Linked DNA regions of Mus musculus. Each later gene encodes a partner of the first gene's protein in a complex. Links are inferred from orthologs where the notes say so. Each region holds a gene or a part of one and is shown in the gene's direction. Other genes may lie near its edges.

Region 1 (7,832 bases):
ACAGTTCTTTAAAAACTAAGTATTTAGTATTAATTGAAATACTAAGTATGTAGTGTTAATTTAGCCATTCACATATGCCTGTACTTATTACTTCTTCTTGAATTAGTAAGGGACAGTAAAGAGAGATGTCAAAAGCATAGCCTTGAGACAGATTAGCTCTGTCATTAACTAGCCAAGTAGATACACTTCACTGTTCACTAGCTTTCTGTTACTATGACAAAATTCCTGAGATAATCAACTTAATAAAGAAAGGAAATGTACTGGCACTAAAAGCATGCACCACTATACCCTGCCATTTATTTTATTTTATTTTATTTTATTTTATATTATATTATTTTATTTTATTTTCTGGTGTTGGGAGTTAACATGTGCCACTGAGCTGTGTTCCCAGCCTTATTTTTGAATTAAACTTTTTTTTTTTTTTTAGAACATTATATGAGCGTTTGACCTGGTGTACCACCCGCCTGGTGCCCAAGAAAGTCAGAAGAAGGCGTCAGATCCCCTGGAACTGGAGTTCTGGAGGGGTAGAAACCCACCACGTGGTGCTGAGCTACCTCTCCAGCCCCATCATCTTAGGTTTTAACTGGAAACGTGTTGGGGCATCTCAGTCTCTTTCCTCGTTTCTCTTTTGTTTGAGAATGGTTTCCTGAGTTGCACCTCATGCATGGCTCACTTTTCATCTCTTAATTTGTCAAACCTGTGCACTGAACTTAAAATGTCAGTTGCTTCCCTATTATACTAAAAGTTTCATTGGAATTCTCCTTTTCTTTTGAAAACCTTCCTGTTCTTGTCTCTTTTTTTTCCAGTTCTTGATTCATGCTTTTGTCTCTTTAAATACATTAACCTTCCTTATTTTATTACCTATGTCGTTTTGCACTTCAAAGTCTGTGTGGGCTAGGTTCTGCTGCCCTTCTGTCCTCTGAGGATATTTGTATAAGCTATCATAAATATATACATATATAGTTATATATGGTTTATATAGAGAGTTTTGGGTTTTTGTAGTCCTTGATTCATTTATTCTCATGCTTTTCTTTCTTTAAATATATTAAATATTCTATGTCATATTTCAGTTTCAAAGTCTGTGTGGATTTTATATTACATATATAATACTCTCAACTACACTTATTAAAAAGTAGGTGTATATAAATATATATTCTATTTTTTAAAAGACAGGGTCTCACTATGTAGCCCTGGTTGTCCTGGATCTCACTGCATAGATCAAGATGGCCTCAAACACACAGAGACCCACTTGCTTGTGCCTCCCAAGATCTGGCATTAAAGGTATGTGAGACAATACCTGACTCTTGTTATTTTTTGTTTGTTTGTTTGTTTGTTTTTGTTTTGTTTTGTTTTTTGACCATTAAATGTCTTCAAGTAGAAGAATGGCACAATCTCATGGATGCATGCGTTTGGAAAGAAGATTTACAAAACAGTTCAACTGATTAGGAAGATAGACATTGCTGATAGCTGAGATAAAAAGTCCAATCTATGAGAGAAGGGGGCACAGGAAAGAAACGATTCGCTTTGGCTATGCAGAATTTAAAATACTTTTTATTGTGGTTTACTGTACCAATTCCCACAAAGAATTTATGAGTATGGAAGAATTATAATATCTACCTCTGAAATAGTACAACCAGCTAATTCAGCTTTTTATAAGAACTTGGTATTAAGGGTGCTCGCTGATAATAATAAGAGAACCACTTATTGAACAGCTTCGATGTGTCAGCAGCTGTGTTAACCATTTCATAAACTTTACCTCCTGAAGCATCATGACAGACCTTATTAGAGGAGGTCTCATTATCTGTGTTTTACAGCTGAGGAAGCTAAGGCTACAGAGGACAGACGCCTAACTGGTTCAAAATCAGTCAGTAGGAAGAGGCCCGAGCTGAAATTCAAACCCAGGTCTGGCTGGTGCTAACACTATCTCTATACAGTTTTCCATGACACACATATAGTGGTCACGGCCATCACCACAGAGATGCTGAAACTAGAATTTCTTTAACAGGTGCCCAATCCTGTAAAACATTAAAATTTCATCCCAGTGGAGAAATAGGCAGTGGCTATAGATAATGTAATGTAACCAACGTCATCAGCTTCACAGCAGAGACTCTAGTTTAAACATTTGATGAACAAGCTAAGATCTATTTTTTGGTGAACTTGATATGAAGGCATGAATAGAATGGGAATGCAAGCCGCCGGAGCGGATTAAATTCGCCATCTCTGCTTTTCCTGGGAACCAGCGATCCTGCAGTCAGAAGAAGTTTGCTTTCCCAACATCTGGAAACGCCAGAACTGTGTGTGACACTGCCTCAAGAACTGAGGCTCCTTGTTCAGACTTTCACACGGGACCCTCTGTTCCTTTCACACAGGCCTCTTTCTTTCTCACATCTGCCTCTTGGAAGACTTTCCCAGGGCGGGACTGAGCCTGCAGGGAAAGAGGCAGTGGACTGGGGCTCCTGGGTTCAAAGTCTGAACTAGACCCAGCTTGAACTCTGATGTTTATTGTCCCACTTTTCGCCATCTGAAGGAGAAATTCGAGGACAATAAGCTTCTAGTTGGCGGAGGATCTATCCGCAGCAGAGGAGAATCAAGCGCTACAGTCCGAGAGGCAAACCCCACACACAGATCTTTAGAAGGAGGGAGCCCTGGCTCGTCTAGCCCCGCCCTCCACCCGCCTAGCCCCGCCCCACCGGTGCCATTGGCCGGTCCAAAAAACGCGGGGCGTTGTCAGTTTGAATGGGCGAGCCTGGAGCTAGGCGCAGGCGCAGAGGAGTACAGGCGCTGAGGGAGCCTTGCTGGCGGTGAGACCCTCTGAGAGGCCAGGGGGAGGCCGAAGCTCTGGCCCACGTGACCTGCCGGGGGCGGGCGCCCGGGGCGCTCGCCAGCCTCCCGCGGTGCCCCTGCTTGGCTCGGCGTCGCCGCCGGGACCCGACTTGGGGAAGCGCCGCGGTTCCTAGTCTACGGCCAGAGGCGCTCATCCCTGCAGCGGTTCCTTGTTCTCAGGAGCCGCGGGCCGGAGGGAGGTGAGCGGAGCCTGAGGGGGTGACCCAGTGGGGTGTGTGGGGGCGTGGGGCGGGGGTCTCTGGACCACCGAGGCTCGACGGGCTCGGGTGACGCTGGGACCCGGGAGCTCCGTGGGGGGCTTCGCACCCGCACCATTTAGGCTGTTGTCCCCTAAGTGAGGGGAGACTGGGGATCGGGCTTCTGCAGACCTTGAAAATACTTGCTGGGATGCAGCGACTTCACGCGTTTTCCGAGCGTAACAGACGGTGGATACAAAGCCGAATCCCAGTGGATTCGAATCCCAGGCACGTCGCCGGCCCCGGGTCTCCACACCAGACACCTTTGTCAAGTCACATTTAAACTCCTGAACTTTTCGGATCCCAGACTTACTGGCAAGCGAAACTGATAGATCGTTGTAACCAGCTTTATAGCAAGCGTAACATGTTTGAGATCTTAGCCGGAAAGCTGTAAACTTAGTATCTTCAGATGAAAAGTGGAAAACGTAATTTCCTTGTATTTTAATGGTAAACAATTAGGTGGCTTTAACAAGTATCATTTGAACTCTGTTGAAACGAGTAATGATGGCAATGTTTATTTGCCTTAATGCATTATTTAAACGCCGGGTAGACTTAGAATAGGTAAGTTCTTGACTCTCCTCTCGGTGCTTTGTGTTGATTGGACTGCTGTGTGGTTTGTGTTGTAAGTTTTTGTCACCAGCGAAGCAGAATTTTCAGACTGCCTCTTTGGAAGGCTAAACTGAAGATTTTCCGGCTTGTTAGTAACCATCGTGATTGCTTCTGGTAAAGAGCACTTTTGCCTGGGGTTTCGACGTGCTAAGAGCAGAGATTCGTTCCGCCTAAGTTCAAAAGCGAAGGTTCCTGTCCTTTGACTTGAGGGCAGTGGGGGAGTTCAGGGATGCCCGGCCGGTTCTAGGCATTCATAGGCCCCTCTTGCAAACTATTTCTAACTTACAATTCGAGGATTGGACTGGTTATGAATTCAGAGACTGTGGAGTATTGTGGAAGCGTGTCCCACGGAAAAATAGTTTAGCTGAATTTTCAGTAGGTCAGACATACACTATTACAAGTATGTTTTGATGTAAACCTGAGATTTAATAGTAGGCTAGTTACAAAGGTAATGCACTATATATAGTGTGGCTCCCCACACCTCACCTCCTCTGTACTTGGGTTTGAACTCTAAACCATGTGAACACTAAGCAAGAGTTCTATCACTGAGGTAATTCCAGATTATTCATTTATTAATTAATTAATTCATTCATTCATTTATTTGAGACCTATTGTTGCTAAATGTTTAGGGCTGGCCTGGAACTTGGAATCCTCCTGTCTCAGCCCAGTAGCTGGGATTACAGCTACTGGGCTGTAATATGTGCACAAATTCCACCTGGTATGAAATGGCTGGCTGACTTTCTTCTTCCTTCCTTCCCTCCATTCATTCAGTGTAGTTTTGAGACAGGGTCTCAGATAGCTGAATTTGGCCTTGCACTCTTTGATTCTCTTTCTCCATCCTCCCAGTGCTGTGATTACAGGTGTGCACCATACATGCTTAGGGTCAAATCCAGGGCAGGTGTATGCCGAGCAAAACCAAACCACATCCTCAGCCTTCACCTTTCTTACCCATAAAGTACTCCAAGACTTACCTAAAAACAAACAAACAAACATACATACCCCCACCCTCACCCCACACACCTGTGGGCATTTGTTTTTAAAACTGTGTAATTAATAGGCTACTGGTGGGATTGAGACTACTCCCTAATCTCAAAGCACCAGCTACTGCACTTAAATGGCCATGTGTTTCTGAATCCCACTTGTGGCACATAATTCTACTTAAAACCACAATACAGTCGGTGGTTTGTTATGAAGTGTGGAGGGATCTATCTACCCTTGTAACGATGGTCTCGCTTTGTGTGTGTGTTCTAAAGCAAATAACACTTCCCATAGCTTTTAACCTTTCCAAAGACACAGAGCAAAGTTTACTTGAATCTGCAAGAATATAAATATAGTCTTCTCCACTGTTAGAAATGTGTTATAAACTCTGTTTTTGCACGGTTACAGAATTCCCTTTTATCCTGATGGTTGAACCCCAGTTCTTGCCCTCACCTGCTTCCTGCTCTGCTGAGCTACACCCCAGCCTCATTCTCAGACCTAGATGGTTGGACATCTGTGGTGCACAGAATATTTACTGATGTCCTGAGTGGGCAGAGAGGCTCCTTAGTCAGTTTTGAGTTTTTGCAGTACTTTTCACCTTGTCTCCTCATCTGGCCCTGTGTGATGCTGCCTGTTTCTTGTCCTAACATGTAATTTTGCTATTTCTTTGTTGGAAAAAAAGAATAATAATAACCCTACAAGTTTCCCATTGGAAAACACACACACACACACACACACACACACACAGAGCCTAATAGGTGCTTCAGCCAGACAGTGCAAGCCTCACAGTTTGGTCATGTTCTCTTCCACTTCTGACCAATGTGCTTCCCAGGAGTGTCTACACACCCCACCTCTTTGCTTCAGTTGCTTCCCTTAAATAGAACGCCTTACTCTGTTTGCCTAATAAGTTCTACCATAGGAGCGCCTGCAGTACACATTTCCTTATTTCCACAGAGGGTTTGGGGTTTTTTTGTCCTTTTAAATTAGAGTTCTGCTATAACCTCATAAAATTAAACTGAGTAGAAACATTTCCTTCCATAGAAGGTGCTTAGTAATATGTTTTATATATAAGATTGTGTTTTATATGGGTTTTTTTCTTTTCCTACAAGGAATTCTGTACTCACTTTCTAGAGCCCTTCTTTGGTTGGATATAAAGTTTTGCAATTAAGATTCATTTTTGCTTTAAAATGTTTGAAGTTGGTACTGCCTTTTTAAGAGAACTGATCTAGTGCTGTTTACCGAGGAAAGGCCAGTTCTTTTGGGTTTCACTGTTCAGCTTGTAAACTGTCATGCACATGTATTGACTGATTAAAGTTGATGGTTGAGCACCATTGGTACAGTAGCCTGTTATCCTCAGGGGAGACACTTTGAAGGCCTCCAGTCTTGAGACCTTGAGTAGCTCCTAAGCAGTCTTTTCCTATATAAACATACCTATGATAATTAACTTATAAATTAGACAAAGTAAGAAGTTAACAATAACTAATAATAAAATAAAGCCATTAGGGGCTGGAGAGATGTCTCAGCGTTTAACGGCACTGAGAGAACGGGGTTCAAATCCCAGCATCTACATGGTAGCTCACAACTGTCTATAACTCCAAGATCTGACACTCTCTCATAGACATACATGCAGGCAAAACACCAATGCACATAAGGATGAATACATACAATAATTAAAGCAACTGTGGAAATATAATGTAATGAAATTGTCATCATCTGTACTCTTGTGATTTGAAGCCATTATTAACTAAAATAAGATGACTTGAAGGAGGACTTGTGACATCTGCAGATCAGGGTAGTTACTGGTAAATGACTAACAGGGCAGGTAACGTATACAGCATGGATACACTGGACACAGAATGATTCACGGTCTGGGTAGAATCGGGGCATTTCATCCTGCTTCTCAGAATGGTTCATAAGTAAAGTCTTAAAGGTACATTGGCTTTCTGGAATTGAGCATGTAATAGCCTTGGACTACCATTGACTGTAGGTAATTGAAACTGAAAAGGGAAGTCAGAGGTGAGAGAATTGCTGTGATAATGAATGGCTGTGGTTTTCAAGCGGTTTGGTATCTGCTTTTTCTTAGAGTTGTATACTTCCCATTTGTCTTAGTTACAGTTTTACTGCTGTGAACAGGCACCAACCAAGGCAACTCTTATGAGGACAACATTTAATTGGGGCTGGCTTACAGGTTCAGAGATTTAGTCCAGTATCCTCAAGGCAGGGAGCATGGCAGCATCCAGGCAGGCATGGTGCAGGAGGAGCTGAGTTCTACATCTTGCTCTGAAGGCAAACAGGAGACTGGCTTCCAGGGAGGGCCTTAAAGCCCATGCCCACAATGACACACATCCTTCACCAAGGCCACACCTCCTAATAGTGCCACTCCCTGGGCCAGGCATATTCAAACCGTCACACCATTGTTGACTAATATTTGTTCCTTTTTTCCTCTAATAATAGTAGTCATAGGACTATTTTATACGTATTTCTTTGAACTCTTATATAATGTTTGTTTAATTTGTGTGGTCTCTAGAAAGGTAAAATTCAAACACATTTTTACTAACTAAAAGACTACAAATAGGAAAAGGTAACAGCATAAATATTTTTTTTTTCTTTTTAGAAATTGGGCTTAGGGGTCTGGAGAGATACCTTAGAGGTTTAAGAGCACTGGCTGCTCTTCTAGAGGTCCTGAGTTCAAATCCCAGCAACCACATGGTGGCTCACAACCATCTGTAATGGGATCCAATGCTCTCTTCTGGTGTGTCTGAAGACAGCTACAGTGTACTCATATACATAAAATAAATAAATAGTTATTTAAAAAAAAAGAAATTGGGCTTATTTTTCGCTTTTAGTATTTTTGGATTGCACCCTTTCTTGTGATCTCTTGGGTGGTTTTGGGTTCTCTTTGGTTTTGTTTTTGTTTTTGTTTTGCTTTGTTTTGTTTTTTAATGTTTGTTTTGTCATGAATAGTCCTTTAGAAAGTACAGAATATATATCATTATGTTTAATTAAAATTTAGGATGTCTTTTTTAAAAGTCTCTGGATTTTCTGCTGGTACTATGTGAATAATCTGTAAAGAACCAGGACTCAGGTCAGTGCTGAAGTGCATGACCGTATTTATTTTTATTTGCTTGGATTGTGTCAAATACTATATCTTGGCACTTATGCCGG
Region 2 (7,235 bases), on another chromosome or scaffold:
TATCTTACCAGCTTATGAAAAAGCTCTCTGGGGAGTGGGCTCCCACTGGGGAGAAATCCTTTAGATCTTCCTATTAATTTCAATCACCATCAGTACATGCTGGCTGCATCTGCAGAGACAGGCATATTTGCCACTGTATGGTTTCTTTTAGGTACGGTGTCAGGGGCCATTTCTGCTTATAGCACCACACTCCTAACCTTGACTATCTCTCTATCTATCTAATTTTTGGCACCATTTACAGTTTGGGTCTCTTGTTGAAAATTCCTTAATCCAGTTTTTAAATATTTATTTATGTATGCTATGAGTTCACTGCGACCCTTTTATCCCGCTGTAAGGACTGGAAAGTGTTATAGCCCAAGAGACAGTAACTGAGGGTGGATGTCCATGGAATGTTAGTGTTCTATCATTAATGACAGTGTCACTGTGAGGGTTAATGGCGATCTGTAAGTAAGGATGGTAGACTAGAGGTTTCTAAAGTGTAGCTAAACTGAACTTTCTCATCAGCTTGCCTTCTGGCTGGAGCTCAGCCTTAATTCATTTCAGGTAGAAGGTCATTGTCAAGAAAGGAAATTGACATGGGGGAACCCAATCAAAGATCAAAGAATCAGGAGACAAAGCCAGAACAGAAGAGAGAAAGGGGTCTAGAATCGTAGGGGTGAGGCTGAGGGTCTCTGAATTCAAACAACTGGATCTTAACTTCATTCGTTGTGAGTCTGCTTTTTACTGGAACCCCAGATGATTACCCTAGAGCCACCCACTGACTAGTGGGCATCACTGGGGCTTACATCTGGGTGGCAGCAGCCCATGATGTAAGGTAATAGAAGACAATACCATGGAAGGGCTAGGCAGATGTATAGTAAGGATCCAGGCTGACAGAAGCTCTGCAGTCCCCATATAACCTACCCACAGAGAGTGTCATGGGGACCATGCGTGTTTGTTTTATAATTTCTCAATTCTGTTTTCCAGATTGTGACCATCTTGGCAAACATGTCTGTGCTGGAGCAGTGTGGCTCTGACATCATTCAGGAGAACGGTATGTCTGGGAACGCTGCATGGATTATCAGGGTATATGCCTGTGGGCTTGTATAAATCCCATGTGTACATATATAAGTGCACATATGTTTATATGTCTGTATGAGCATACACACACACACACACACACACACACACAGAGAGAGAGAGAGAGAGAGAGAGAGAGAGAGAGAGAGATTGAGAATTTTGTGTATAACCTGGTCAAAAGTGAAACGCTTATTTGCCTTCACAGGCTTAAATTCTAGTGGGAGATATAAAACATAGAAGACAATGCCAGGTAGGGATAGTGGTCTGGGGACAATAAAGCAGCGAGGGAGGTAAGGTTGTCCCAAAGTGGGGTAACACTGCTATTTAACTGCCTTATTGCCTTTGGCCTCCATGGAAAGCTAACGTGTGGGAAGGAGGTAGGGGGAGGGGGAGGGGGAGGGAAGGACAGCCGCCTCTACCCCTCTCCCAGAGGACCTTACTTCCAACTGGCCTTCTCTGTTCCACCTTGTGTGTTCCTGGTCAAGGGGAGGTGGAGCTGGGCTTGTCAGCCTGAAGGCTGTTGTAAGCAGTCTCTGTCAAAAGACAAGGTGGCTGCCTTGCAGCTGGGAACAGAGCTAGGCTGGCCAGGGCTTCCTGTGATGGAGGAATAAGGGAGCAATTAGCAAGCAGTCGGAGGCCAGAGGCACTAATGAGAGAGTGAGCTGGGAGGCTGGGTACCTCTGCTCTCCTGAAAGTCCCTTCCCCCAGGCTGCCCTGCTGTCTTAACAAACATACACTTCCCCGGTCCCCAAGACTAATTGAAACACACCATTTTGTGTTAATTTCATGTGATTGAGCTAATAATGAGAAACTGTGCTGAGCCAGCTGAGGCCAAGAGGAGAGGCTGCGTGGTGTCACTTGTACTCTCCTTAGGCACTTGGAGTCTTGGCTCAAGTGGCCAGTGACAGCAGGCTGCCACTTGCCTGAGCCTTTGAGCTTGGGATAGCTGCCATCTGGAGAGTGCTTTGTGGCTTACAAAGTACTGTTGACTAACTCAGTGAGTCCACAGGGGCAGAAACCTACTGTGTGCCTGGCATTGTGCTGGACATTGAGGACGTGGAGTTTAATGAAGCCCCACATTTCTCCTAAAGGCTTTCCCTGACCAAAAGGAGGGCCTGCCTGGACTGAAGTGTTGATGTATAAGATAGGCCATCTAAAACAGTACAGTCACCGAGTGAGGATGGAGGGTAGCAGAGTGTTAACTCTGGAGCCACACCTGGTGGGCACAAATCCTGGCTCTGTTATCTACAAACAGTATGGGCTCTCTCTCTTCCCTCTAAAAAGTGGGAATAGCAATGTTTGCTCACAGGAGTGTGTGAGGATGGCCATGAAGAGTGGTGTCAGGAGAGTGTCTATACCCAGGATGAGCCCTGCACCAGGTTTACCTTTTCTTTTAGGAAACAGTGTGAGCCTCCCAGGATTTCATGCAGAGAGTTTGAGGAAGGCAGGAATTGAGGAATCCGAATGATAGTGATGTACTCAGAGGCCACTAGAAGCCAGGAGACTCCAGGTCTCTAGAAGGGGAAACCCTGTTAGATAGTCTGACTTTGAACACCCATTACTAAGTCACAGGTGGTAAACATAGATGCCTGCAGGATCCAGGCACATAATGAAAATGGACAAAGTGGACAAGTATTCGGTCAATCTCATTAATAATAGTAAATTTAAGACAGGTGTGTAGGCATGTGCTTATAATCTCAGAATTCAGTAGGAGGGTTTTGAGTTCCAGGCCAACCTCAGCTACATAGTCAGCTCCAAGGGAGCCTGAGATACCCAGCACACCCCTATCATAATACAAAACAAAATCAGAAACAAACAACAACAATAAGCTTCTGGCCATATAGAGATATATGTGGGGTCACTACTGCCAATTCAGCAGGTAAATGTTACAAACCAGAAGTCTAGATTATTATGGAAATCAACAGCTCACAGACAACATAATTCTTGAAGCAACACTGTGAAGTAAACCTATCTTTAGATCACGTTTAGTTGAAGTTCTCAGCCAGCTGGTTGGGACTAGGATGCTGGGGGTGGGGGCAGCTCACACAGAAGACAGGCTTCCGCTGAAAACCTGTACAATGGAAGATATTTGAAGAGGGAAAGGGGCGTTCCCCACAGAAAGAGTGGGCAAAGGCAGGCTGATGGTGTATGTGTGTGTGTGTGTGTAAGCGCACGCGCGCGCGCTTTATATGCTTTATAGACCAATCAGGAGACAGATCTTGCTTGGGGAGGAGACAGGAGGACCCTAAGTGACTAAACAGAGCCTCTGGCTGGCACTCCCACCTGGAATGCAACTGCTGTAGTGGTTCTCCAGCCTAAACCCTCCTGCTATGGGACACCTCCTGCTATAGGATTCAGTACCTTTGACCTGTCTCAGATGCAGCCCTATCTGAGTTTCACACAGCATCCCCATGCTTTGGACATGAGGCTTACTCATTCTGGACCTTAAAGTAGAATTACCATGGTCATGTCCATGAGACTGTTGGGATGTTTGAGGGGACTGTTTGTTTCCTGTACATATAACAGTGTGAGACATACCATAAAGTCAATAATGTTGTTTTAAAAAGTGGGGGTGTCTTTTTAGATGTTTCTTTCCAGGTTGGTGACTTGGTGCCTAGAATCCCACATCTCTATGAAGTAGGAAAGGAAAGAGGTGCCCATATCTAACTGGCACCTCTGTTTGAGACTCCCCTACCCCAAGCCTTTGCTCGAGTCCTCCACCTGTCTAGCTAGCTCCACTAGGGAAGCTCTACCCTGGGAGTAAGACTAAACTGTCCAAACTGTCCTTGCTTCTTGCCCAGGTGTCCAGCTCATCATGGGCATGCTGTCTGAGAAGCCAAGGTCTGGGACACCTGCTGAAGTGGCAGCCTGTGAAAGAGTACAGCAGAAAGCTGCAGTGACCCTGGCCCGCCTCTGCCGAGACCCAGATGTGGCCCAGGAGGCCGTTCGGCTCAGCTGTGAGTGGCGCTGGCTGTGGCTGGAGTGGAATGGGAAGCTTGGGATGAAAGTAGTGATCTCATGGTGCTGTCAGAGGGCAGCGTATTAGGACTAACTGGGGTCAGCCCCATGCTTTGTGTGCTGGGAGATGCTAGGGTAGAAACCCTGGGCATAGCCCTTGGTCTAAATTGTAATGAGAGATAAAAGTTGGCCAGAAGAGCAGCTCACCTGCAGGCTCCTGTTGCTCAGAACCTGAGTATTTCCTTCGCTTAACCATTTATTCTTTTATCGACTGTTTTCATTCATTCTGCATTCATACGTTTATCCTCTCAGTAATTCATTGACTCCATTATTTATCTAGTCACCATTCACTTATTTATGCTCAGAATATCTATTTATTCTATTTATTGTTATTAGCCTCCTATTTGCCTGAATATCACCAGAACCTCCATCCTATAATAAGCTCTAGAACAGTGGTTCTCAACCGTGGATCACTTATCAGACACCTCTACATGACAGATATTTATGTTACACAACAGCAAAATTACAGTTACCAAGTAGCAACAAATAATTTTATGGTTGGAGGTCACCACAACACAAGGAACTGTATTAAAAGTCACAACATTAGGAGGGATGAGAACCACTGCCCTACAGGTGCACAATACCTTCCCTGAATGGTGACAGGAGAATGGTCTGCACGTGAGAATCGGGAGACTGATGCTCAAAGCACATCTGGTAGAAGAAACAGGCCCTGCGTATCTGTGTGGGTTGATGGATGTTTTAGCAAGGTCACATATCTTCTTTGTGGCTTGTGGCAACATTTTCTCAGTAAACCTCTCGGAAATGTTAACGGGGTTTATCTTTTTCTCTACTTTTAGCTAAGATATATTTTCTCACTGACATAGCCAATTGAGGCGATGTAGGTGGGAGATGTCAGTTGGAGACCTCAGTGCACAGGCTTGAATGGTAAACATTGCACTTGTAAATCAGCAAGTGTGTACTCCAAAGGCCTTGCTCAGAGAAAACAGGCAACATGCCTGCAGTGTTTGGCGACCATCAGCCCAGGCTGTTGCTCTCGCACTTGTGGGCTTGACTTCAACACTGTACTTTTATTGCCCTTGAGCAGGAAGTAGAAAGTCTCCTGGAAATATTCCTCCAGGTGGTTCAGCTTCTTCTCTGCAGACAGGCGCTAGCATGTACGATGCGTTAACATGTCCGATGGGTGAAGCTGGCCAGCACCTCCATCCCACCTGGCCAGGCTTGTCTAACCCAGTTGTGATCTGCTTGTGTCTTGTACAGGTATGTCTCGCCTGATTGAGCTCTGCCGGTCCCCCTCTGAGAGGAACAGTAGTGATGCTGTCCTGGTGGCCTGCCTGGTGAGTTCTCAGCCTGCCTTCAGCTTACCTCAGGGTTTTAAGGAAGGTAGACTAAGGCCAGGGCAGCTGGTTCTGTCACAGTTGGATATAAGCCTTGATGCCTCCCCATGCTTTTCCTTCTCATATCCAAATGGCAATGCTGATTGATGCTCATTCCTATTAGTATGTTGAGACCCATATGCAAAATGAGGATTGAGAAGCTGTTATCCATCCAACCGCCACAATCCCAGTGACCCTTTAGGTTCTAGGGGCTCCCAACAGCAGATTGAACCAGAGACATGTGCTGGAGGGCTGCTAGGTGGTAGTGTTGATATCATGGAGTCCCCAGAACACAGGGGCCAGGAAGTGGACAGCTGTCTGTCCAACGTGAACAATTATGAGAAAGGTTTCTCCTTTTACTCCCAGGAGGAAACCTCTGCCAGGCCCTCTGGTGTGGACATGACTACAGAGGGCATGACAGGTAGTGAGGCTTACTCCACCAGATGCTAAGATCTCCTCCTTGAACCCCACCTAGGCTCATCACACTTCTGGGTACTAGGGGTTCACCTTGAGCTAACCTGCTCTAGCAGATGGGCAGCACATGCTCTGTTCACACTTATCTTCCTATGGGCTGTGATGAACCACTGAGCAGAGTGGCAGAACAGACCGAAGTTTGGGCTTGTGGAGAAGCTGTCAGCTTTCAGGAGAGAACGCCAGATCTTTGGCCCTCAATGTACACATGGGAGAAGCAGTGGGTGGAGGGTTCCTTCAGGCTGAGTCATTGCAAAGCCTTCCTCTTGCCCCATTCTTCACTGAGCTCAGCTCATTTCTGGGAGTTCCACATGGGCACTGTGCAGTTGTAGAAGCAGCTGGTATTGCCATCAGTGGGCCTGACCTCGCTGTACCTTGGTGAGCTGTGTTGTTGAGTAGATCAAAGTGCTATAACTCTTATCTAGCAAATATTTGCTGAGGGAATTTATGTGCCACTTCCTCTTGTAGGTTGTGGAGATAGTTGTGGAGACAGTTGGGAAAAAAATTTCCTGCTTTTATTCTTGGACCTTCTGGACACTCTTATCTTTTTGTGCCTTTGGAAGTCTGGGGAAAATTTTTAACCTCTTCTACAAATCCTTTCTTGACATTTTCACATGTGTATATAGTGTATTTCAAGCAGACTCACCCCCATTAACCCCTTCTAACCCCCCATCCACTCTGAATTCATTGGCCCCATCTTCTGAGTAATTTTTAAATGCATAGAAAATTAATGTAGAGCTTTAAAAGGGCACCAATTATGTTAAAACAACTATTCTATACTTATGCACATAGCATATTAAAATGTGCTTGTTCATGGTAGTAAATACTATTTGGAGACACCTTCAACATCTTTTATGAGATCTGCAGATTTCTGTGTTTTCTGTTGAAGAGCAATGTCAGATATCAGCTAGATCCAGTTTGTTTCAACATTGACAACCAATGAAGATGTTGTTTTGAGAGGGATTAGTTGAAAGAAAGAAAGAAAGAAAGAAAGAAAGAAAGAAAGAAAGAAAGAAAGAGAAAGAAAGGAAGGAAGGAAGGAAGGAAGAAAGCAAGCCTTGCTTCTCCACGTTCACAGGCCTTCTTGGGTCTATTTTTCTATCAAGTAAAACAAGGAGACATTCATAGCTGACAAGCACATCATCATTGGCCCCAACTCCCTGATCTTCCGTGCTCTGGGCAGCAGCAACTGCCAGACTGAAGGGCTTGAAAGCTAAAGTTAAGGACGCAGGGAGCTCTTGGGATACATAGGCTGCTACCATTGTGAGGGCTTCTTGCTATCACTACTGGCATTTTTACTGCTTCTTGAGAGAGTACATAGATGTCTTGACTGCTGTCTTCAATCTAAGAACT
Region 3 (7,235 bases), on another chromosome or scaffold:
CCGCATCTTGCCATGGATGCCCTAAGAAACAAAATCACCACCATCACCACTTAGAACCATTGGATTAAATTCTACTAATTTCATTAGTGTTAAAATCTTTGTATTCAATTCTGTTTTTATTAACTAAGAGAAGCACAAAGACCATTTAAAAGTATTCACTTGGCCAGAAAAAAAGAAAGGTGTGGTTGAGAAGTAATAAAAGAGTAAAGATTCCAGTAAGTAAAAAGACAAGGAGTCTTAAATCTCTAAGCCTATAAAATGGGAAACAACCTGAGTACACACTAGAGCTGATATAGGCTGTTGAAACTTGTCTGACCTCAATACAAATCACCATCCATGTGGGTAGTTCTTTGGTCATGCTATCCTATTTTCTGTCATTTTTATAAGGCTTCAACCCATAAACGTTTTTTTAAAACATATAATCAAGTTCTGTACACTCTTGGCCACATTCTCTTTCCCACTTTCAATGGAAAAATATCCCTTATCACCTCACTGTGAGCACTCAGCTTCAGAAAAAATAGAAAGATACCATGGGTCAAGAGTTTTACAATTCCAAGTGCTGGGGAGATGGCTCAGATAGTAAACTGCTTGGTAGACAAGCAGGAGGACCTGAATTCAATCCCAGAACCTAAGTAATGATGCTGCTTGTTCTGGCTAATACTTGTAATCCCAGTGCTGGGGAGATGGACCCAGGCTCCCTGGAGTTCACTGGGGATCATTGGGGATCACTGAGGCTCACTGGCCTGCCAGCCTTAGCCCACATCATGAAATACCATCTCAAATAAAGCAAGGTAACTGGCTCTCAAGGAATCACATGTGATATCCTCTGTCCTCCATGTACGCACACACTCATATACATGTACAGAAAGAGAGAAAGACAGACACACAGACACACAAACAGAAACACAGATACTCAGAGGCACAGACAGACAGACTGACACACACACACAGACACACGCACACACGTACACACACGTACACACACACACGTACATGTTTCATACCTTTTGTTCTGATTTGCCCAAAAATTGATGTCTCTTAAGTAGTTTGATTTGATTTTTTTTCAAGCCTGGTGCTGGTGGCCTTGTCTTATAATAGTTAACAACCACCAATATTAGTTGATTCTCTTATCTATTATATACATGTGTGTGTGTGTGTGTATGTGTGTGTGTCTGTGTCTGTGTCTGTGTCTGTGTCTATATCTGTGTGTTTCCTACTAAAACCTAGCATTTCTAGCCAAGACAGTGGTTTGCTTAAATTGTTTTGGGATTTTGACGAGATTTAGGATGAGTGAATGGTACAAAATCATCACTACAGAAAGGACAATACCTCTTGTTAGAGTTAGCAAGGGAGTTGAAAAGTCATATGTGATTGAAGTAAATTTTCCAGTCTTTGCTACTTAATGGTGATCATCTATACCTTGTTGAAAATTCACCTTTGATAAACATTCCTTATGTATTCAATATAAGACAGATACAGATTCTAATCAAATTCCTCATTTTAAATGGCACGAAAGCCAACATTTTTGAAGTCTCTATAAAGATCAGTTCTATCTAGATATTTGTAATTCATGAAACTCCATAGATTCTCAGAGTTGCATTAGCTAAATGAGGATTTTTATAGCAAACTCAAACCATTTCACAGTGATTGGAGATGAGAAAGTTCACTCTCCCTGAAATTCTGAAAAGAGTAGAAGAAAGTTGAGAGTGGAGGTATGCAAGGCTGCTTAAAAGGTTTTGCAGAGATCTCAGGCAGTTCCACAAATTCTATGTCCATTTGAGTCTCCTGTGTCATTAGAAAATTTACATACCACACTCTTCTTTGCCTCTAATCACAGTTGGGAAGTATCCCTCACCTATTGTAACCTCTCAGTGAACAGACATTTCCAGAGAGCAATGTCTCGCCCTGTTCTTACTTACTGAATGGATGAACCATGTGTACCTACTCAACATCTCCCATCTCTCTCTCTCTCTCTCTCTCTCTCTCTCTCTCTCTCTCTCTCTCTCTCTCTCCTCTCTCTCTCTCTCTCACACACACACACACACACACACATTCACACTTCTCTTACAGAAGCAATAAGATTTGAATCTTGATGTTACATTTCAGTCCATCATCAGAAAACATGAGATATAGCAATATACTGCCCTTCTTCCTGAAGAGTTTTTCTCATACCCCATCTCCCCAGCAATACAAGCATCCACTGGGGCTGGAGGCATAACTCAGTTGGTAGAGAACCCAGAACACTGGATTCTACCCCAGCACTGCATGCACTGGCCATGGTGGCACACAGCAGTAATCCCAACATTCCAGAGTTGAAGTTAAAAGGAAGTTCAAGAAGTTCAAGGTCATCCTCAGCTAAATAGGAAATTTGAAGATAGCCTAGGATATATGAAACTATGTCTTAAAACAGAACAAAACAAAAAGCGTTCTTGTCATGTGCCTTTATCTCCACAGTAGAAAGAGTTCCCACCCAGTGGAGCCCACAGTTAAGCTTTCTTTTCTTTCCTCAGCTCTCTGCACTACAAGCTAAGGTCCACTATCTCAAGTTCCTCAGCGACCTGCGACTATATGGGGGCCGTGTATTCAAGGCAACATTAGTGGTAATTTTATTTTCTTTCTTTCTGTCTGGAGTCAGAGGCATGCCAAACATCTCAGCACAGGCTGTCTTCAAGGAGTTGTCCTGGATGATAAACACAAAGAAGCTCAGAATCTTCCTTGTTTTCAATACTAACTGACTTCACCACACTCTGAAGATAACTTAAGACCTGTTCAATCTAGATAGCTTTGCTGGAGCAGCCCTGGGGAAAAAATGGAATCAAAGGACTCTTACAATGGTGTCTTTTCAATCACTGAGATAGAAGTGGGGAAAAACCCTTCTCACTTCTAAAAGTTTTGGATATATATAAATATATTGTATCATGATAACATTTACTTTCTACGTTATTCATAATTTATTGGCACCTCCATACACTCATATATGAGTCCACCTAATTGGATGATTTAATGCAATGTAACCCAGAAAACCTTTCCAAAGAATATGTCGTGATATTATGAAAAGAGTCTCAGGCTGAGTTAGATGATGCTTCAGAAGTCCAGGCTTTGAAATATTCTGTCATTCTCTTTCCTCAGCAGGCAGAGAAGCGCTCAGAAGTAACTCTTCTGGTTGGTCCCCGGTATGGCATAAGCCATGTCATAAACACCAAAACCAATCTGGTGGCTCTTTTAGCTGACTTCAGCCATGTCAACAGGATTGAAATGTTTACTGAAGAGGAGAGCTTGGTGAGGGTGGAGTTGCATGTGCTAGATGTGAAGGTGAGCCTATCAAATGTTGATCTGAAGCACTGGCTTGAGCAGCTCATTTCTGATAGCCTTGATGGTACTCACCATGCATGAAAGACTTAATGTGTGCAAGGCCTCCAAGATGCCACATTGTGAGAAAAAAGTAAATAATAAATTCATACAACTCCGGTCTAGGTGCTCTAGTCCTCATTAAATTGCTGTGTGATTGGGGACAGCTTGTTATATTTCTTTACACACAGTTTCTCCATCTATACATAAAAAAGCAAGTTATATCATTTCTCAGTCCCTTCTGGCTGTAGAATACTGAATCATATATCACTAGGGAGAATGTGTTTCCACCACACTTTCTAGACTGGATTTCTCACGTGGAAAGTCAGTGAAAGTTCCCCCAGCTAGTTAGAATTGTCATTCATTCTCTTTGGTTAAATTGGGATACCCAGTCCCAACGCCAGGCCCAGTCTGGCAGAGTTGGAGGAATAGATTCAGGAACACCGGGATGACTGTAAAGCATTTCTTCAGAGCAAATCAGAATGCACCTGCATGTTCTGCAGCAGGAACATGTTACCATGACACAGCATGGAAGCTCACGTGTCACCCGTGCACATGGAATGTCATGGCCTTAACCCAGATGGCTCCTCTTGACTTCTTAGCCAGACACAAGTGTGGCAAGATTGGTGGAATGCCTATCCTAGCTCATGGCCCAGGATGCTGGGAGAAAGCCACATTGAAGGGAATGGGCACAATGAATGTGAGCTGGATGTTGTTACTAGTAAAAGGATTAGTAGGTCCCACAACAAAATGAGTGAGGAGACCCGGCTGATGATCTAATACCTACATGGGTTGGCTGGCCTAGAGGCTGAGCAGAGATGTCAATTCAGATAGAAAGGTCAGTTTGGGGATTTTGAATAGGAAATGTTCCAATGACCAGAGTCCTCCTGAGAGCTAGATATCTGCTCTTTTGCTGTCTTGGCCCCATTTGTTGTCTGATGTAAACTTATTGCCTCCTTTGCTCTTTCTTTCAACAAGAACATATCCCTTCAAGCCAATGAGAATGACTGCACCATAAGCACTTCCTTCCACACACCAAGATACATGGCCTCTTAGGAGCTCATTGTTTCCAGTTTGAGCAGTGTCTCTTCCCAGCTCCCAGCTCCAGCTTGCATTTGTGTAAACCAACAATTTCATTTTAGAAGCATCATTTTCTCGGGTCTCTTTGGTGCTCCCCATCCAGTTATAACCAATATTTCGACTTGTGATTTCTTTCTCTTGAACACTCATTTTCACCACAGAGCTCACATTTTAAAAATGAATATGCATGCATGTGTGCATGGAGTGGCTTTTATAAGCCAAAAAGATGGTATTGACTGTCCTGGAGCTGGAGTTATAGGCAGTTATAAGCCACCTGAAGAAGGTACAGGAAACCAAGCTCTTTTTTTAAGTGGTTATTTTATGTATTTACATTTCAAATATTGTCCTCCATTCCAGTTTCCCCTCAGCAAACTCCCTATCCCATCACCCTCTCCCTGCCTCTATGAGGGTGCTACCATCACCCACACACCCACTCCTGCCTCACCACTCTAGCATCCCTCTATGCTGGGGCATCAAGCCTCCACAAGACCAAGGGCCTTCGCTCCCATTGATGTCAGATAAGTCAATCCTGTGCTATATATGTAGCTGGAGCCATGAGTCCCTCCTTGTATATTCTTTGGTTGGTTGGTGGTTTAGTACCTGATAGCTCTGGTTAGTCTAGTTGGTTGATATTGTTGTTCTTTCTATGGGTTTGCAATCCCCTTCAGGTACTTCAGTCCTTGCCCTAATTCTTCCATTGTGCTCAGTCCGATGGTTGGCTGCAAGCATCCACATCTGTATTGGTGGTTCCTGTATAAAGGAAACCAAGCTCTTAACCAGGGCCTTCTCTCCAACCTTGAATCTCTAAAGTTCTCCCCTGATTTATGCTTCTCCAGAGGAATATTTTCTCAGTATCTTCTTTTCCTTATAGGTCATAAGAACTTATAAATACTTTCAGCAGGAAGACATTAATGAAAATTTTGTTTTGTTGTGCAGCCCATTACACTACTTATGGAGTCATCAGACGCCATGAACCTGGCCTGTCTGACAGCTGGATACTACCGGCTGCTTGTGGACTCCAGGAGGTCAATATTTAACATGGCCAACAAGAAAAACGCAGGCACGCAGGACACAGGTATTTTCTTTCTAAATTCATGATCCTCTTCCCACACACCCTTTGAGAACGTACCCCAAAATAATAATAATCAGTAGCAGAGTTCAATAGGAAAGTGCTATACCTAAGGTTGCTGATTCCAAGGGCTGGGGAGATGGGAAATACATTCCACACAATCATGGGGACCTGAGTTCCAAGGGCCAGAGTGCACATAAAGCTAGATACATAACATGTGTCTGTATTCCCCGTGTCCCTACAATATGAGAGGCAGAGACAAAAGGATCCCTGTGAGTTTGTGAGCTAGCTAGCCTGGACTATACAACTCATAAGTGAACAACAAAGATCCTGCCTCAATCACAGGAGAGGACAAAAACCAGAACCTAATGTTGATCACTGACATCCACATGCATACCAGAGCATATGCATACCTACATACACACATACACACACAAAAAAAAACACACACACACAGAGATACATACACACAAACATATATACACACGTACATACATGATACACACAAACATATATACACACACATATATACATGATACACACAGATACATATACACAAACATATATACATACGTACATACATGATACACACAAACATATATACACACACATATATACATGATACACACAGATACATATACACAAACATATATACACACACATACATACATTATACACACACACACACACACAAAGAAATTGTGATAGAGTGCTTGCCTACCAAATATGAGAGTCTTGGTTTAATCCCCATTAGTATCAAGAAAAAAAGAAAAGATAAGGTTCTATCTATAAAAAAAAATATCTAACTTCCAAATATAACACAAAACTTTATGTACTGGTAACATTGATTAACTATTAAAAATAAACATGCTGATTTGCCCATTTCATCTGAAAAGTCTCTTGGAAATGACAGGGCTCATTTCAAAAGCAGTGGTTTTATTGCTGTGAAGTCTTGACAGCCTTTTCCTTTTCCTGCCTTCCTTCCTTCCTTCCTTCCTTCCTTCCTTCCTTCCTTCCTTCTTTCTTTCTTTTCTTTCTTTCTTTCTTTCTTTCTTTCTTTCTTTCTTTCTTTCTTTCTTTCTTTCTTTCTTTCTTTCTTGTTTTTTTCTTAGTGTTTGGTCCTAACCTAGTCATATATACTAAACAGAAACTCTTCCACTAAGCTGGTTTCATGGTCCTGTAGCTACATTTTCACTGTCTCACTCTTGAAATGGCTGGGACTCTGAGAATGAAGCCCCCTGACATAGAGTTTTTGTTTCTTTAAATTCCTAGGCTAGAGCTTTGACATCTTATAAACTCACTAATTGTACTAATTTGCTTTGTATGTATGTATTTATGAATGTATGCATGCATTTAGTGAGACAGAGTATGTAGCCCAAGTTGGCCTAGAACTCACTATGTAGCCCAGACAATCTCAAGTTATAGCATTCCTGACTCAGTCTCCAGAGTACTAGGATTCTCAGTGTGACCCACCACACCTGTTCTAGACTTGGATGTTCTAGAAAGAACTTCTTCCACCCTTGTGCCATCCAGGCAAAGCTAACAGAGGTCACTCCAGCCACTTGATAGGAGAAAATATTCCCATAGATGGGACAAAGAGGATGATATATGTTAAGTTGGCTTTTGCACTGAGTGTAAGTAATTATAATTTGTTTTATGACTTTTGCTCTAGTCTATATTTTCTTCTGTCTGCAGTGGATGCCCAATATATGGCTCATAGATACCATCATGCAAGTCA
Region 4 (7,235 bases), on another chromosome or scaffold:
CACACACCCTGTCTGTCCACACAGATGGAGAAAGCCAAGACCCATTATGATGCCAAGAAGCAGCAGAACCAAAAGCTGCAGGAACAGCTTCAAGACTTGGAGGAACTGCAGAAGGAGAACAAGGAGCTGCGGTCTGAAGCTGAACGTCTGGGCCGTGAGCTGCAGCAGGCAGGGCTGAAGACCAAGGAAGCTGAACAGACCTGCCGTCACCTTACAGCCCAGGTGCGCAGCCTGGAGGCCCAGGTAAGAACCTACTTTAAACAGAAGCACCTCACCCCTGTACTGTTGTACTCCATATCTCCTCTCCAAGGCCACCCCTACTCTAGGCTTTTTATTTTACTTCCTAGGTTGCCCATGCAGACCAGCAGCTTCGTGACTTGGGCAAATTCCAGGTGGCAACTGATGCCTTAAAGAGCCGTGAGCCTCAAGTGAAACCCCAGCTGGACTTAAGTATTGACAGCCTGGATCTGAGTTTGGAGGAGGGAACCCCATGCAGTGTGGCTAGGTTAGGAGACATGCCTCTCTATCCTGTGCCTGTTCACTGAGTGTGCGCTGTTCTAGCCTGTGGTTCTTCTACGACAGATGCCTGCTTAGGGTACAGTAGAAGTGAAAAAGAGGTGAGGTGGGGCAGTTAGGAAAGCCTTGGGGGAAGCTTTTCTGAGTTTTGATAAACTGTACAGCTATGCAGAGGTGGATGAGCAGCCTTTAATGCGAGGCCAAGTAGGCCTGCGAGCCTAGAGGCTGACTGCACTAAAGACTGATAAACTTCAGAAGTGCTGAAATTGAGGACTACAGGTTGGATTTGCATCTTAGTTTCCTGACAGTATTGAAGTCAAAGGTTAGCAGTACAGTTACTGTTTCTATCAAATGTGTACTGTACTGTGTGCCAGTGTTCCCAGTTCTTGGAACAATTACAACTTCAGCTTTCTCCTAGCAACCATTTTAGGCTCTATTCATTATCTCTCCTTAAACAGATAGAATTGGGCTTTTGGGGGATCCACAGTGATAGAGCCAGGTCTGAGCCTGGCAGCCTGTCCTGAGTTCTTGCTTATCACTACTTTATAGTGTCTCATGGCAGTCTAGGTCTAGGTGAGATGAACTGAGGCTGAGGGAAGGGAGTGTGCAGCTAGGAGAGCTTCTTGGATGTTGACCATGGTTGTGTATGGTAGAAGATGTCCAATTACACCCATGTTCATGTGAAGGTGTCCCTACTTAGTAAAGTAGGAGATAGAGGAGGAAGAACATGCAGAGGGGTTTAGGGTAGGCCCCATTAATTGTCGAGCAGTTGTGGCATCTGCTGGGGGGGAGGTCTGGGCCCATAGCTGTCTGACCTGAAGAGCAGGGTTTGGGCTAAGGTAGAGAGATCTGAGAGCTGCTATAGGAAAGGGTTAGGAGCAGCCAAGAGTGGACTGTCAAGGCCCCCTTTTGCTATCTCTGAAAGACCAGTGGTACTGTATTTTACCACATTTACCTGTAATAAGATTAAGTCAGTTTGGGGCAAGGAGACAGACATAATGTCTTCTAGCTCAGGGTCTGCATCTCGGCAAATGTCTTTTGCTACAGCAAGCTGCCTCGTACCCAACCAGATGGTACCAGTGTCCCTGGAGAGCCAGCTTCACCTATCTCCCAGCGCCTGCCCCCCAAAGTGGAATCCCTGGAGAGCCTCTACTTCACCCCCACTCCTGCTCGGGGTCAGGCCCCCTTGGAGACTAGCCTTGACTCTCTGGGGGATGCCTTCCCTGACTCCGGCCGTAAGACCCGCTCTGCTCGCCGCCGTACCACACAAATCATCAACATCACTATGACCAAGGTTAGGTTATTGGGCATAGGACTATTGGATATTAACACCAGTTCCTTATCCAGGGCTCATAAATCAGGAACACTCAGGTATGAACAACATCTTTTAAAAGGGCATAGATTTGTTTATGGTCTCTTTTCTTCTTAGATTGATTTTATATATACAATTGCTCAGTTTTCATGCACATCAGAAGACTGAGTCAGATCCTATTACAGATGGTTGTGAGCCACCATGTGGTTGCTAGGAATTGAACTCAGCCAGAGTCCTCTCTCCTGTCTGACGGAAGACAGAGCAGGATAGAGGAAATAACAGCTCATTCCGAGCCTCTGGCACGCCATGCAGCCAGGATGTAGCTTGGTGTGGCTCTCAATGGTCTGCTGCTTCTAGGCTTAGATTCTCTTTTTTTCCCTGTCTCTAGTGGGCTGAGGAACAGGTGGGAAGGTGCTTTTATGCCCTCTACTACTGAGAATTTGGGGATAATTAGTTTAGGCCCCAGGAACCGTGGGTCTAGGGACAGCAGAGGTTGTGGGCTGAATCCATCTAGATAGCTTAGGAGATAGGGGTTCTGGCTCTTAGCCTAGCTACTTCCTAGCTGTGTGAGTAGAGGGTACTCGCCTTGCTTTTATCTCTGAAATAGGCTAATAATGCCTCCTTCAAAATGTTGTGGTAGAAGAATCTTGGCATCTTCCAAGATGCTTCTGGCTGTATGGCCTGTTTCCATACGCAGTGTAAAGCAGTGTGGTATCTGAGAGCTTTGGGGCAGAGGGAGGTGGTGCTGGTTTATAGTATTGCTGCAATGATTTGTCCTTCTAGAAATTAGAATTGGAAGAGCCAGACAGCGCCAACTCATCCTTCTACAGCACGCAGTCTGCTCCTGCTTCCCAGGCCAACTTGCGAGCCACTTCCTCCACTCAGTCTCTGGCCCGCTTGGGTTCTCCTGATGATGGCAACTCCGCTCTGCTTAGCCTGCCTGGCTACCGGCCTACCACACGAAGCTCTGCTCGTCGCTCCCAGGCCAGGATGTCCAGTGGGGCCCCCCAAGGTGAGGAAATTACAGGAATTTACCAGAATCCCAGTCTAGACTGGAAGCAAATCTTGGCCTGGAAAAGAGGCAAGCTTCCAAAAGCTCAAGGCAGGCCTCCTTACTATGCCAGAGCTGCTTCCCCTCACTCACCTGTGCCATCTCCTATCTAGGACTGCAAGGGAACACACTGAACCAGGGATGCTCACTAGTTAAGATTTCCACACAGTTCCTAGTGCGAGTTGATTCTTGGGGGAGTCCTCCAGGCTGCTGTCTGAGAAACAGTGGGCTTGGTAAAGTCAGGCTGCCCAGCAGTTTCTTGGAAGTTGTCCTTAGGATCTAGGGACCCTCCCCGGTTATCAATTCATGACCCTCAGTTTCTCTTGGTGTGGGGCACCAAGCTTTGGCAAGTGAATAAGATGCTACAGCCTCTGGTCATGAACTCTTTCTGATCTCCCCTGAGAAAGCACCTCCATGAGACAAATGGTTTGGTACGGCACTTTTGCTGTGCAACATCAATACAGAACTTGTGTATCTAGCCCGAAGTCCCCACTCCCAGAAAGGTGGGAGTGAACAGTGGCAACAAAAGCCTGGCCAGATTAGTAGACGGTGTATTAGCTGCCGTGTTTGCCCTAACTTTCTGTGCTCCATAGGGAGGAATAGCTTCTACATGGGCACTTGCCAGGATGAGCCCGAGCAGCTGGATGATTGGAACCGCATCGCAGAGTTGCAGCAGCGCAACCGAGTATGCCCCCCGCACCTGAAGACCTGCTACCCTCTGGAGTCCAGGGTGAGATGTGAGGTCACCTCAAGACCTTCCACACTGACTTTAGTGGCTAGCCTGAATATCTAGTCATAGATATTTTTGGTCTACTGGGAAGGTCATTCTACTGGAAGGTCATGGAATAGCTGTCACTCAGGAGTGAAGTCAGATATGACTGTGCTTGGAATTGTTAGCTATCCATCAAGTATAGGTCAACATGAACAACAGGAAGGAAGGAGTTTTAAGAATCCAGCTTTAGCCCTAGTTCTTGCTCTATACAGTTGGGCCCATTGACTGTTGCCTCTTGTCCCATGCAGCCTACCCTGAGCCTGGCCACCATCACTGATGAGGAGATGAAGACTGGAGACCCCAGGGAAACCTTGCGTAGAGCCAGCATGCAGCCAGCTCAGATTGCTGAGGGTGTTGGCATAACTACCAGGCAGCAGCGCAAACGAGTTTCCTCTGAGACCCACCAGGGCCCTGGCACTCCTGAGGTAGATGATGTGTGCATCTATTTTGTCTTTAGCACTATACCCAGGCATGAACCAGCCCACCAAATCTTAGTGATAGGGAAGTCTCTTTCCAAGGGCAGATATACAGACCGTTGGAAAGGCCTTTGTCAGAAGTAGGGAGAGCATGTCCTTTTGCCATTATCTGCCCAATTATCTTGTCTCACAGTCCAAGAAAGCTACCAGCTGCTTTCCACGCCCCATGACCCCCAGGGACCGGCATGAAGGACGTAAGCAGAGCAGCACTGCTGACACCCAGAAGAAAGCAGCTCCAGTTCTCAAACAGGTTAGTCCAGGACCCAAGGGGAAGAAGGAAGGCCAAGTGAAGCCTTGCTGGCAGAGCTCAAAAGTAGCAGTCTGACAGACCTTCCCCATAGGCGGACCGGCGTCAGTCAATGGCTTTCAGCATCCTTAACACACCTAAGAAGCTGGGAAATAGTCTTCTAAGGCGAGGAGCTTCAAAGAAGACCCCAGCAAAGGTCTCCCCCAATCCTCGCAGTGGAACCCGCCGTTCTCCACGCATTGCCACCACCACAACTGGCACTGCTACTGTTGCCACCACTCCTCGGGCCAAGGGCAAGGTAACGCAGTAGAAGGAAGACCATCCTCTAGACTACTCCATAGGGCAGCATTCGAGGCAAGCCCAAACCAAACCACTGGAGGAGGGTGGGATGCAAGAGGTATCTCTGTCTTGGCTAGCCACTCATAATTGAGGACCCCACATTTCTTAGGTGTGGCTGGCAACTCATAACTTAATGTAGGTGTTTATGAGACCCCAAAAAGGAAGAGGTCCAGCCAGGGGTTTTGTGAACTAGTCAATAGAGGTTGGCAACACAGGACTTAATCTGGCCAAGTGACTGTCTTTTCCTTTTCAGGTGAAGCATTAAAGAGTCAGCACCAGTGCTTACGTGGCCCCACTGCATTGTCAGCACTGACCTTGCTTGGTCCTTTCCCTCCTGCTGTCCCTCAGTGCCTTCTCTCAGCTCCCAGGCCAATGGCGGCCAGCCTTCCCCAAGACAATGAGGTTTGCCTGCACCCTGGCCTGCTACCTGGACTTTGCCTGGTGCCTTCTAGGCGTCTTTCAGAGATGGCCCAGGAGGCTTGGAGCTTGGACAGTGTGTGGTCTTCTCCCTATCTTGCCTCCTGATTTTTTTTTTCTCCCTCCGTTGTTGTTTTGGAAAAAAGTCTACTTTTCCATCTAACTAGATTGAGACTGGATTCTTTAGCCCAGTCTTCCTTAGTCTCTGGACCTAGAAGGGACCATTGGAGAAGCAGGCTCTGCTTCTCTGTTGTTCCTGGTGGCTGGGCCTTAGCAGGGGTCTTTGCTCTTGAAGCCCAGGATTGGGCATGACCTGGTAGGAGCCTCTGTTCTTACCTATTTCCATATACAGCTGCCTGGAGGATGCTTTTTTTCCAGGACAGATAGGTTCTGGATCTCAGGGGTGAGATAGGGGGCAGCCTTCAATGGCAGCTCATACTTCACCTTCCCCAGACTTGCACTGGGGTAGGATATGGAACGATGGGGAGGTTTTTAAGGGCCGGGGATGGATCTTTTCTAAATGTTATTACTTGTAAATAAAGTCTATTTTTCTCCCTTGAGTGCTAAGCTCTTTGGGTCAGTATGAGGAAAAAGGGGAAATTGCAGCTCTTTGGAGCCTGTGTTTGGTCTTTCTGGCCCCTGTTCCTAACTAGTATTATGGACTGTTGCAGGGGTTCATGTTATTCTGAATTTTTATTTGGCAAGAGGCAGTGTCTCATGCTGCCTGAGTCAGGCAGAGTTCCTGAGGACAGTACCAGGGTCTAAATAAAAATGAGACCTTGAGCTGCTGCAGCTTTATGAGTACTCAGTGTGGGCCCTGCAGAGACACAGACTGACATATACAGTTGTGACCTGACGCAGCCACTGTTCCGTCCTTGCCTTGGGGACAGTACATTAGGGGCAAACTAGGAAAACAAAATCACATGTAAAGATTGAAGTCAGTGCAGATAGTGGTCAGAGCTGAGTGGATGTTGCCAAAGTTATATCTCAACTAGGCTTCGGGTTAACCTTTTTGATTGGTACAGGATGTAGAAATCTGCCAGATAGGCATCTCAATTTCACGTTAAGTGTAAGCAGAGCTATCACTTGGCTAAGGTGTCATCAGGTCTCAGAGGTTCCAGAACACCAGTGGGATGAATAAGACATCAGAAAAGGTAAACTGGATGGATGGACAGGAGGACAAACAGGAAGAACTCTAAGGACTTAATTACTATGATAATCTAGGGTAGAAGTGAAGCTTGAGTTTGAGGTTCAGCAGCAGAAAGGCAATCACAGCCTATGGTGTAGACTCCACCCTCCAGGTAGATGAGAGCCAGGCTCTGGTCAAGGTCATGGTGTGGTTGGCTTTATGCAACCCCTGGGCCTGCTGATCTGGATACTGGGCTGTGGCTAGAGAGGGTTTCTTGAGAAGGGGACGGAGCTGTCTTCAACCCATCCTGGAGAAGTAAATGCACACATGGTCAGAGCTAAGGAAGAGCTCTTGCCATCACTTGCTGTCACTGCAGTCCCATGTTCCTTGCTTCCACCTCTGGTAGATCTCAAAACAGTCACTAGCTTACAGGTTGTACTGGAAAAGCCAATCCTTCCTTCCCCAGGTAGTAGCGTTCCTCCCATCCCTGGATGCCTTCTTTCAGGTTCCTTACCCAGAGCTGGGCCAGAATGATGTGATACTGGGCCACTTGTCCAGGATCCACAAACAAACAGGAGAAGTTGGTACTTCGTAGGGTGGGGCTCAGTTCTTCCAGCACCAAGGCCCTGTGCAGCCAGGTGCTTGTGTTCCTGTGCTCGCGACTGGAAAGCAGAAGGAAATCGTGAGAGGGTTGCCGGAGTTGGGGAGGAGGAAGGTCTTTCTTGTAGCCCCACTGCTAGGTCCCTTACCTTGTGTGGCCCTCCTTCAGCCGGCCTGGGAGGTGCTCAATGAAGGAACCATTGCCCAGCCAGTAGAGGATGCTGAAGTAGGGGAAGCGGCTGCAGGCAGTACAGGACAAGGTCAGAGTTCCATCTAGGAGCACATTTGACTGTTAGTTATTCTATAAAACAGAGGCCCCTATCCTGCCAAGCTCCACTTAGTCATAAATCAGAAACATAAGACCTGTGTCCTACCT

Evidence for each region.
Region 2: the proteins of Gpsm2 (region 1) and Insc are in contact, whole or in part, in a crystal structure (PDB 3RO3), measured with the Mus musculus proteins. Residues at the interface, in NP_083798.2 of Mus musculus: Asn210, Tyr213, Leu214, Phe218, Arg242, Ser246, Asn247, Asn250, Ile253, Phe254, Tyr265, Gln283, Tyr286, Ser287, Asn290, Thr291, Thr293, Leu294, Arg323, Trp326, Ser327, Asn330; in XP_006507722.1 of Mus musculus: Val72, Asp73, Ser74, Val75, Arg77, Trp78, Met79, Asp81, Leu82, Lys83, Leu84, Met85, Thr86, Glu87.
Region 3: the proteins of Gpsm2 (region 1) and Frmpd4 are in contact, whole or in part, in a crystal structure (PDB 4WND), measured with the Homo sapiens proteins. The link is inferred for Mus musculus from reciprocal best matches to the Homo sapiens genes GPSM2 and FRMPD4. Residues at the interface, in NP_001307967.1 of Homo sapiens: Leu25, Ala28, Leu29, Glu32, Asp57, Lys59, Thr60, Ser62, Ala63, Ile64, Ser66, Gln67, Asn70, Phe73, Tyr74, His85, Asp88, Ala92, Gly100, Lys103, Asn107, Asn110, Thr111, Lys113, His128, Arg143, Tyr146, Asn147, Asn150, His153; in NP_055543.2 of Homo sapiens: Gln988, Leu989, Leu990, His991, Ser992, His994, Met995, Glu996, Met997, Glu998, Pro999, Glu1000, Thr1001, Met1002, Glu1003, Thr1004, Lys1005, Ser1006, Val1007, Thr1008, Asp1009, Tyr1010, Phe1011, Ser1012.
Region 4: the proteins of Gpsm2 (region 1) and Numa1 are in contact, whole or in part, in a crystal structure (PDB 6HC2), measured with the Homo sapiens proteins. The link is inferred for Mus musculus from reciprocal best matches to the Homo sapiens genes GPSM2 and NUMA1. Residues at the interface, in NP_001307967.1 of Homo sapiens: Ala28, Leu29, Glu32, Cys35, Lys36, Phe47, Lys59, Thr60, Ser62, Ala63, Ile64, Ser66, Gln67, Asn70, Ala71, Phe73, Asn110, Lys113, Tyr146, His153, Lys157, Pro164, Gln165, Arg203, Gly206, Asn207, Asn210, Tyr213, Leu214, Arg228; in NP_006176.2 of Homo sapiens: Ser1901, Phe1902, Tyr1903, Met1904, Gly1905, Thr1906, Cys1907, Gln1908, Asp1909, Glu1910, Pro1911, Glu1912, Leu1914, Asp1916, Trp1917, Asn1918, Arg1919, Ile1920, Ala1921, Leu1923.

The regions. Positions count from the first base shown.
Region 1 is NC_000069.6:108,717,232-108,725,063, reverse strand, and holds the start of Gpsm2 (G-protein-signaling modulator 2), read left to right. Parts: upstream 1-2,764; 5' UTR 2,765-3,023; intron 3,024-7,832. UniProt on the Homo sapiens protein: Plays an important role in mitotic spindle pole organization via its interaction with NUMA1. Required for cortical dynein-dynactin complex recruitment during metaphase. Plays a role in metaphase spindle orientation.
Region 2 is NC_000073.6:114,841,157-114,848,391, forward strand, and holds part of Insc (protein inscuteable homolog), read left to right. Parts: intron 1-966; coding exon 967-1,033; intron 1,034-3,860; coding exon 3,861-4,016; intron 4,017-5,295; coding exon 5,296-5,372; intron 5,373-7,235. UniProt on the Homo sapiens protein: May function as an adapter linking the Par3 complex to the GPSM1/GPSM2 complex. Involved in spindle orientation during mitosis. May regulate cell proliferation and differentiation in the developing nervous system.
Region 3 is NC_000086.7:167,485,064-167,492,298, reverse strand, and holds part of Frmpd4 (FERM and PDZ domain-containing protein 4), read left to right. Parts: intron 1-2,510; coding exon 2,511-2,600; intron 2,601-3,129; coding exon 3,130-3,312; intron 3,313-5,364; coding exon 5,365-5,503; intron 5,504-7,235. UniProt on the Homo sapiens protein: Positive regulator of dendritic spine morphogenesis and density. Required for the maintenance of excitatory synaptic transmission. Binds phosphatidylinositol 4,5-bisphosphate.
Region 4 is NC_000073.6:102,009,270-102,016,504, forward strand, and holds the end of Numa1 (nuclear mitotic apparatus protein 1), read left to right. Parts: intron 1-24; coding exon 25-243; intron 244-347; coding exon 348-505; intron 506-1,563; coding exon 1,564-1,810; intron 1,811-2,611; coding exon 2,612-2,840; intron 2,841-3,472; coding exon 3,473-3,609; intron 3,610-3,899; coding exon 3,900-4,076; intron 4,077-4,260; coding exon 4,261-4,377; intron 4,378-4,468; coding exon 4,469-4,672; intron 4,673-4,966; coding exon 4,967-4,978; 3' UTR 4,979-5,690; downstream 5,691-7,235. Other genes in the region: Il18bp (interleukin-18-binding protein), read right to left, coding at 6,681-6,921, 7,009-7,132. UniProt on the Homo sapiens protein: Microtubule (MT)-binding protein that plays a role in the formation and maintenance of the spindle poles and the alignement and the segregation of chromosomes during mitotic cell division.